Drosophila melanogaster: one gene and its partner. The gene in region 1 interacts genetically with each later gene. Each region holds a gene or a part of one and is shown in the gene's direction. Other genes may lie near its edges. The genes, in order: AdoR and Ent2.

Region 1 (5,288 bases):
AACGTTTAGCACCCATGCATTTTCCATACCCCCCCCCCCCACCATTTTTCCGACTGACTGTGGAATTCATTGAATGTGCCTGCAATTTTTGGTGGGGAGGGGTTCCCCATATCGCATTTCTGCGGCTCTACATAACCGAGACCGAATGGATACGAGTGGCCAACATATGGATCTGAGCCGTTTGCCCGCTCTGCTAAAAAGTTTGAGAACTGAGTTTGTTTTGCTGATCTGTTGTTTTTATTAATGAGCTGTTGATAGTGCTGGTTAAGTCCCATTTGATAGGCATTCAAAAAATTCTATAATTATAAATCCTATAAATTGTAAATATGACTTTTTGGTCCAAGCTCGATTTCCCTGTTTTTGGTTAAAAAATAATGCGTTTTTTGGACACAACTTTGAAAATAATGGTTCAAAAGTGGAGTGGCATATCTTATTTTACTCCTAATTAACTTCCCAATCGATTAGTGTTCAAATTTGGAAACTTTAAATTTTTGCGATTTTTTGCAAAATTTGATGATGTTACCCCTTATAAAAATTCGAAAATTGACAAAAAAATTTTTTTTTCTTAATTCGAAAAAACGGGACAGGGATCGTAAGCATTGGTAATTAGCTGCACAAAACAGTAATTATTTTTACTTTACGACCATTTTCAGTCAAGAAATATTGAAAAAACCACTTGGAAACATGGATTATTTTGATCAACTAGTTTTTCTCATTTTCCATCCAAAATAATCGTTTTATTTTTACAAGGAAATTATCCATGTTAAAGATTAAATAATCATTTAAAGCGTTAAGCATTAGCTGAGACACAAACCTTTCGAAGTTTTACCGTAAGCTTACCAACGGCTGTGGTGAAGCTCTCCCGCTGTCTCTGTCACTCGCACTTCCCTGTCTCTCGCACAATTTAAATATTTCTTAAAATTCAAAAGCAATTAAAGTGCGGTCATAAATTGTGCGAGCTGACTACGCTCCGAATCGATTGCATTCAAATCTCCTTGTAAAACCCAAAATGGGCGTGCAAATTGCCAGCACGTGGACCCATAGATATGGTTCTAAAACTTACAGATCCGGGCAAAAAGAGTGCTGCTCAGTTCATTACGTATACGCCGGATTGGCTGCAGCAAGCATCGCGATTTTGTTTGCACATCTAAAGCAGTGACTATTCGCTAGACAGAAGGCAAACATCTTCGCAGGCCAGTCACGTGCACGTAAATGTCAATAAAACGATATTCCCAGTCGATGGTGATGGTCCGATATGATATTGTAGTATGGGGGCATTAATAATACCCGATGCTCGAGCAATACGATCGCACTCCGCTTGACACAGTAGCAGCCCCAACATCGGGCAATTAATATGCGGCAAACAATTTTGATGAACTGCTAACAAGCCGATGGATCGATGGGGGTTTTATGGGGGCTTCTGGTTCTATACCGGGATGACAGCCCATAAAGCAGCACAATGGCACAAATTGATTTTGGCCAAACGATTATTTCGGGGGTTGCGTGCTCTTGGGCACATCCGCATCGAAAAGTAGTACCCCTCCGAAGCCAAGGATCAACCAGCTGGGCCATCAATATCAATGAGCGGATGCCGATTGATTGGCAGACCCGTCGATTCTTTATTGGTCCGTCTAAGAAAATACATATTGCCCATCGCGGTTTACGTCTCAATTATATTTGAGTGCCATTGAAAGTGTAAAGAACGTTCACAAACGGCGGCCAGAAATAGCGAGCGGAATCTCGGCGACAGCCACAAATCATAGCTATAAAGAAAAGAGCCAGCATATTTCGTTTACGATTATATCCGGACGGAGGCCAAGCCGTAGAACTGCAACTCTCCGCGCTTTTCCAAGCACTCAACAGGCGTCCGCAGCTCGCAGTCCGCAGCTCGGGGGCTCGTCCACTTTTCCCGAAGTCCCCCAGTTGGGTTACCCGATTCGGAAATCCCGAGCCCGAATCCCAACTGCTTGGGCTTGCTATCCGTGCGATTCATTCGCGCATTTTGCCGTCGAGCGTTGGCCAGCGCGGTGGATATTTCGCATATCCGCAGTGGAGAATCGCATATCGCAGCGGTATCAAGTTTTAAAATTCAGTTTCGAATGCCATAAAAAATAAATAATAAAATTAATAAACAAATCCGGTGCGTGTGTGCCTGTGTCTGTGCGGTTCCGTCTCAATGAAATGCCAAACTAAATAAGCTTGGAAAAGTTTTCCATCCAGTTTTTATGGCAACCCAGCGAGGCCCGAAAGAGTGTCAATTGAATTAGCGTCTCGGGCTATAAGAAAATAATACAGAGCCAAAGAGAGATTATCAAGACGCAACAGGTGATTGGATCGCGGATTTATGAATTCGCAAAGGTGTTTGTTTCTCTGATATATAAAACCACCTGTGGCTCCTCCTTCTAGTTTTAGGACCACTCTCTGGAAATCCAACTTCGATTCCAGGTAACTACACTAATTACCCCCAAAGTTTACTTTAATTTATATATAGTGCTAGTGCAAACAAACGAAAAAAGAACATATGTTAGAGAGCCGAAAAAGAAAATCGATAAAATTCGGACTCAGCATTATGTTTATGCTAACCGCAAAGGCAACTAAATATTTGCTTTTCGCAGCGGGGAAAGTCTTCACCTGTTGCACGTATCGCATGTCCTGTTGATTGGCTAATTGATAACATCCAGTTCCGGTCATCACCATCAGCCATATATCAATCCATCCGCACATCCATGCGGATCCCTCCATATATCCATTCGCATGTCCACCCACCCTTGACCCTGTCAGCGGGCAGCCCATTAAATCATCCCGAGCAAACAAATTAGCGGAACGAGTGCATCAATAAACAAAGTTCACCTGTTGCCCGCTTACTGCCGCGTAGCGAAAAGAAAAGACATCTGCAGTTTGCATTAGCGATACATCTTGTATCTTTTGGATGCCAGCCTCCTACTTATGGCGGATTTTTTGGAATTGCACTCGATGGGCAGGGAAATAAAGCAAACTATGGCGAAATGAACCGAGCAGGGCGAGTGAACATCAAAAGCGTTCGGTTCGGTTTGGATGGGATGGTATGGCACGGGCATAGGTGGAGAAGGTGGGGTGTATCTATCTATCTATCAGATGCACACGGCGCTTGTAACCGCAATTCGCATGCCACCGCCCACCGCCCACCGCCTACCGCCCGTCCTTCGACCTCCTCAAGTCGCCAGTGCTCTTGATTACGCCTTTGTGTATAAATTAATTAAATTAAAAGTTTCCGGTTAAGCCTCCGAACGCCGACAAACGCGGCGCTCGAACGCATTGCATTCGAAAGTGCAGAAATGTCCGATGCACTCGGTTCAGTCATTTCGACTTCGAGGAGCATTCGATGATTATCGCACCCTTTCGATTCTGCTGATAAAAGTGAAGAAATATTTATGCTTATATTTGAAGCATGAATGTGCAGCATTTGTGTCAACAAGTTGGCCGGGGTTTCCCCGTTTCAGCACTCACAATGCAATTGCAATGGCCTCTTATCACAAACTTAGGCCGATCCAATGAACTCAGTTTCCATGTTCATACTGCAAAGTTACAAAAGGCGCTGTTATAAGTGTGATAAAGAGATAAATATAGTAAATTATGCTGCTGAGGAAAGGCTATAGACCCATGTGGAAAATGGTGATAACATCGAAATAAATAGGTAAAACAATTGCAATGGATGATAAAGAGAAGCCATATACAAAGCAGGCTGTAAACTAGTCATAACAACACATTTCATGTGGAAATTATTTTTATAATTTCCTTTTAAAATATACATTAGTAATAATGATTTACTTCATGGCATTTCATTAGTTTAAAAAATAATTTGTCATAGTCATCGCAAATGATCTCCCAAAAGTACATCATTTATCTTTCTGTGTAACTGAGTGGCTATTGCAGGCACGTTTCCGAGGCCCAAGGCTCCCTGTAGCTACCTCATTTGGACGGCAATCCTTTTCCTGGGAAAGCCCTTCATCCCGCTGGGAAACGTGTGCAGCGAGTCGAGAAAGTCGAACCCAGAGATGGATTCATTAGGCTGCTCCTGGCACCGCCTGACACCCCATCTTCGAGCTGGTCCATTCCAATTGCTTCTATAAATATTCGGGCAGACACATCAACAACCTCCCAATCGCAAACCGAACGTCAGCACTTGCCAAAATCCAAGAGCGCGACGCGGGCGATTTCCAAACAAAGTCAACATCTCGGCCGAATCTGATTTCGTTTCGATTATACGAATTTAAAGTAAGTCACGCAGCGATTTTAGCAGTTCCCCTGGCCTGCAAATCGGGAAGCTAGGAGGTACATAAACATAAGTGGGTTGCGGTTGGGAATTAGCATCCAATTAGAAGATAATCGCGCGCTAACTGGCCGCGTAAACTTTTCGCGAAGAGATGGCCAAAAAAAAAAAAAGTGTCACAGATTTACGCTGCTTTGGCCACGCCCTAACCCTGTAATAGCGCCCACACCTCCCACACCTAATAGCGCCCACCAAAGTGCCCTTGAGTGCCTGCAGTTAATGTGCAGTCGACCTTCACGCCAACTAAAGACCAATTGTCAATATTTTGACAGCCATCGCCATCAAAAGGCAAAGCGGACTGCGAGTTCAGCGGGAATGGAAGTGGGTTCGATGATGAATATGTTGGCGACATATTGCAAATCCCAGTGGATGGTTTCGACCCACGTGTCCGGGGCGGTGGGCGGTGGGCGTGGCACACCTAATGTTGACATCACTTGGCCATTTAATGACTGCCTTTATGGGGGCTTTTACAACCTGATGATAAAGCGCCAGAGCGATGTGAACCCAACTGAACTGGAGAAAAGTGAGTCGCCCTTGAGTGGACTCCAATTGACGGCCAATTTGGCGCGGCTTTTTCAGCCCGTGCTCGCTGCGAGAGAGAAAAGTAATTCATTCACTACTTAACTAACAGATATGGTTTCTCTTTCATTCCGAGCAAAAATACGTTAAAAGGATTCATTTCCACTTTTATATGATCCTGCCAAAAATGCGTGTATGTTATGTTAAAACACTTTACTCTTCTCCTGAGTATTTTTTTCTCTGTGGAAAGACATACTTGTATGTTTATTGTGTTCTTTCAGTGTGAGCATTTATATTGGCTACCCAATCACCAGACCAGACCAGACCCTTCCATCCGGCAATCGCCATCGCATTGTCCTCGTTTTGTCCCCGGTCATAAGGTCTCGTACCGCCTCAATTACATTTATCCTGCCCTGAATTGATGACGGATACGAGCAATACGAGTTGTTGGTCGGGGAAC
Region 2 (4,933 bases), on another chromosome or scaffold:
ACCACTATTTGACTCATCCAGCTTGGGTTTCTTTGTGGTCGGTTCTATCGCCTCAGGTTGTTCCTCCGTTGGCGTCTCCAGCTGGGTTTCCTGAGGTTCGTTTTCACTGGGCTCCACAACGGGAATATCTGTGGCCTTCGCGTCCCCTCCTTGGTAAAACTCCCTTAAAACGGAATAGAGATTAACGGAAACACATCGCTGTTGCTGCTCCAGGGGTAGTTTCAGAGCTGAGAGCGCCTGCTTCTGGGGCACATTGCCCGGGTGCATGTGCACCAGGGTGCCCTCCGTGCCTGCGCCTATAGAGTTGAGCATGGCAGCCGGCAGTAGACCATTGGTACCACTCTCGTACAGCAGATAGCTGCCGAATCCACAAACGCCCGAGTAAGAAATAATTTGCGATAAAGTGTCAACGCGAATGCCCATGACCTTTTCCGAGTCTTGGCGGTAGAAGATGTCCAGCATCAGACGGATCGTTGGCTGGCGGATTTGAACGAACTCGAAATACTTTTTCTCCTTCTTTAGCAGGTACTTCTCTTGGGAGTACTCCGTTCGGTTGTGGAAAGTCTTAGAATTCTCCACCAGCTTCTCGATGATTTTGCTGGAGTCGTTGCACTCCTCACGCAGCTGCGCAATGTCCTCTGGTTTCAGGGTCTGCGCTTCTCCATCATCCCGGATGTCCCGATTATCCGCTCCACTGCTGGAGATGCCCAGAACCTCTCGCGTGCTTCTCAGCTCAGTCTCGCTGCACAGCTCCAAGGTGTGTTGTCTCTGGGCGCCCCTTTTACCCGGCTTTGTCTCTTTGACGCACATCTTGAACGTGGAGCCATAGGGTTGGTCCAAAAGAGACTTCAGCTCCAGTGTTTCTTTGCCCAATGTGGCCGTGGTGTCCAGACTGCCGAATTTTTGTAGCTTCGTATATTTCTGCCGCTGGATGACGATGTAGTCGCCCAATTGGATTCTGGGGATGTCCTCTTCGGTGGCCATGGTTGCAACTCTATGTTATAATTCTTATAAACAACGTGTTTGTCGAAAACAAACGAAAGCCGCAAATTCTATAGAGAAGAGGAAGAGAAATTCAGTGCTGGAAAACGGACAAAATCTGGTAATCTAGTCACCTGTTGCATGTGATTAGTAACGAAATTTTAAATAAAGAGCTATAATTAACAACAAATTATTTTCTTAATTTGGCAATACAAATTCATTTATGCAAACAAGAATATTTGGATTGATATTTGACTGATCTGGCAGCTCCATTACCTGTTGCTTGGCCAAATGTTTCACAATTCTAATTAAGAAATAACCATGAGTACTTATACCAAAAATTTCATTTACTTTAACTAATTAATTTTTGATCATGCAATTAGAACATTCAAGCACAATATCAATACTCCTAGTTAAAATATACACAAAAATAATATACAACAAATATGTACATACATTACCCATTTTTGAGATAAGTGGCTGTTTGCTGTTGTGCTTTAATAAGTAGAGTTGGTTGCTATGAATGCTTAAGTTGAACATGGGTGTAGCTAACAGGGATGGTGAAAGTGTGAGTAAATACCTTGAATTACTATGACTAAGTAATAATCATTGCCAAAAATACATTATTTACTGCCCATACTTACGGTCCCTCTTGGCGATTACGGAAGGGAAGGACTGCGCCCATGCGTAACGGCACCCCTCAAATCGCTTGTATCGACGCCCATAAATCATAATTTTCAACGGTGTGGCAACGCCGTTCGATCGAGTACAGCTGATACAACGCGGCGATAATCTTGTAGTGCGGTGCGGTTTTAACCTTTGATTGGATCTGTGTTGTAATCAGCGCTCTTCGGGCACTGCAGTTGCGTCTCCACGTGACCACTAGTTCCAGGCGAACCCCCCGCCACGAGGATATACCCTAATCCCGAAATCAGAGTGCTGTCGCAGGCGCAGGGAAAATCAAACCTTCCCGCCCTCCTACCGGTTTTGTGGCCACCGCGAAAATAACTGACCGCGCAAGTTTTCGGGTTTCAAGCAAACGCCTCAAGCACACGCCCCAATAACTGCTGTCGCCCGCATCAGCAGAACCAGAAAGAAATCCGAGCCAGAGCAGAACAGAAGTCGCGCAGATATGGCGGAGGCTAAATCGGAGAAGTCGCCTTTTATTGGCAAACAGCAGGCGCCGGTGACGTTAAATCCCTCGTGGGAATCCAAGTTGCCGCCCCATGATTCCAACGGCAAGGGATCAACGTCGGTGTTGGCGAAACTGGGCCTGCCAGCGCCAAAAGATAAATTCCTTATCGTGTTCTTTATATTCCTGCTGCACGGCGTGGGCACGCTGATGCCATGGAACATGTTCATCACGGCCAAGTCCTATTTCGAGGACTTCAAGTTCGGACCAAACAACACCGTGGCCACGGAAGTGAGTTACCGCACCCATTTCATGCAAAATATGGGCTTTGCCTCGCAGATTCCTAACCTGGTCTTCAACTGGCTGAACATCTTTGTCAACTTTGGCGGCGACCTGACCACCCGAATCGTCTACAGCATCATCTTCGAAATGGTCATTCTGCTGGTTACCATTATTTTGGCCATGCTCGACTCCTCGCAGTGGCCGGGCGTCTTCTTCTGGACCACCATGGTGTGCATTGTGTTGTTAAACGTGTGCAACGGCATCTACCAGAACACCATATACGGAATAGTGGCATCGTTGCCCATCAAGTACACAGGCGCCGTCGTCCTGGGCTCCAACATCAGCGGCTGCTTCACCACCGCCATGGCCTTGATATGCGGTGAGATCTTCTCGTCCAAGAGGACTTCGGCCATCTACTACTTCGTGACCGCCATCCTAGTGCTGCTGCTCTGCTTCGACACGTACTTTGCGCTGCCGCTGAACAAGTTCTTCCGGCACTACGAGACCATTAGCCGGAGCAGCGAAAAGAAATCTGATTCTAAGGCCCAGCTGAACGTGCCTTACTGGCAGATCTTCAAGAAAGCAGCGCCCCAACTATTCAACATCTTCCTCACGTTTTTCGTCACGTTGTCGGTTTTCCCGGCGATTCAGTCGAACGTGCACCGCTCCGACCCAAATTTCGTAGTAGGCCCGGACTACTTTACACTGGTCACTTGCTTCGCGACCTTTAACGTCTTCGCAATGCTGGGCAGTTTAACCACATCGTGGGTGCAATGGCCGGGTCCGAGGTTCCTCTGGGTGCCAGTGGTCTTGCGTCTGGCGTTCATCCCCTTGTTTGTCATGTGCAACTACGTTCCGCCGGACTCGGTGCGCTCATTGGCCGTATTCATCGAGAACGATTGGGTGTACTGGGGCATCGGCATCGCAATGGCCTACAGCTCCGGGTATCTCAGCTCTCTGGGCATGATGTACGCCCCGCAGACGGTGCACACCAAATACCAGACCACTGCCGGAATGTACGCAGCTGCCATGCTGATCACGGGCATCTTCTCCGGAGTGCTGTTCTCGTATCTGGGACCATTTTTCGTCGTGTAGTCTTACATTTATTAGTATGACGCTTACTAACAATTTTCATTGTTCATTGCATTGCATTATTTGACACATTTTAAATTTAGTTTTGTGCTCAATACCAGTTCCGGGACCTGGCCATTTGGTTTCGTCTTAACCAATTAATTATATTCTTTTCATTTAATAAAGGTTTTACTTTTCATTTTAATAATATGGTGTCTAATATTTCATAGTTAGACTGCACACACATAAATTTAGTTTTGCGCTCAATTCTAGTTCTAGGACTAATCAATCATTTTAACACGTTTTATTTAATAAAGTTTTTCAATTTGTATTTTATTACATCAACGAAATAATACAAAGATAGTGGTACAAATTAAAGCAACAATATACCTCGCATCCATGGGAAAATTGTGCCGACAAAAAGAGCAAAGGGAACTTGCAGAGTCTGACAATTGGGTCCTAATTGATGTACATATATCTATCAATTAGGAGGGGGTCTAACAAGTCAATGGAATATTTGGTTCGTTTTATCACAGCTTCATCCGATTGAATGAAATAACAAAGTGGGACAAATATGCACGACCAAAGCATTTAATCAATGCACTCTTTTGGTGGCCACCGAAACCGCCCAGCTGAAATTGTGGACACCCTTGTAATGATAAAAAACACTGTTAACAGAAAACGTACAAATAAAACGTTCTAATAAAATAATAAATGTGCAGATAACGGCCTTATACAAAACTAATTTAATTAATTTCAAATTGGCAGAAAGGTTACAAAAACTGGATTTAAACGTTAGTAATAATTACTATATTATAATCTCCGAAATACTTTATTTTGCATCTGTGCCAAAGTTTAATGCCATCTTGCAAAGAGGCGTAAACCATTCCAAAGCCGATGGAATTGTTTGGACATGGCGCCGAAAAATATTTGGTAAACAAAAAAATAACCAAATAAACGAACCTTATCTGAGAAGACACATAATTACCGTGGGAGCAGCTAGTAGCAGATAAACATATCAGTTCCACTTGTCACTTGGGCGACGTCTAGTACCTATTTATGTATTTACAAGGGCAAAGTTAGGGGGAAGAGCCGAGGCAGAGCCCTGACCAGCTCAAGGTCATTTCTTATCTCCGCCCTGCGGATCCGACAAGAAGTACACGATCTTCAGAAGCTCATTGAACTTTGGCGTATGCCTGGGATGGCGTTTCTCAAGGCCAGCAATCTGCTCGAGGGCCACTTCCACATCCACTACATTGCCTAAGATCGAATGCAGGCGCTGGGGATATTTTCTCGCGGCTCGCTCCACACGTTTGCGCGTTTTCTCCAGCATACTCAGTTGTTCCTGGCTGCTTACTTTGTGGTAGCTCACCACCAGCGTGTTTAGTTGAGGCAGACTATCGGCCAGTGGGAAGCCGAAGTCTTCTGCATCAGATAGGCCAAGTCGCTCTAGACGCTTGCTTCCCT

What was found.
Region 2: of AdoR (region 1) and Ent2, changing one suppresses a phenotype caused by changing the other (phenotypic suppression), as found in Drosophila melanogaster (one study listed by BioGRID).

What each region holds. Positions count from the first base shown.
Region 1 is NT_033777.3:30,146,318-30,151,605, reverse strand, and holds the start of AdoR (adenosine receptor), read left to right. Parts: upstream 1-1,999; 5' UTR 2,000-2,445; intron 2,446-5,288.
Region 2 is NT_033779.5:6,560,584-6,565,516, forward strand, and holds Ent2 (equilibrative nucleoside transporter 2), read left to right. Parts: upstream 1-1,741; 5' UTR 1,742-2,113; coding exon 2,114-3,490; 3' UTR 3,491-4,126; downstream 4,127-4,933. Other genes in the region: Trmt6 (tRNA methyltransferase 6 non-catalytic subunit), read right to left, coding at 1-984; CG13766 (uncharacterized protein), read right to left, coding at 4,587-4,933.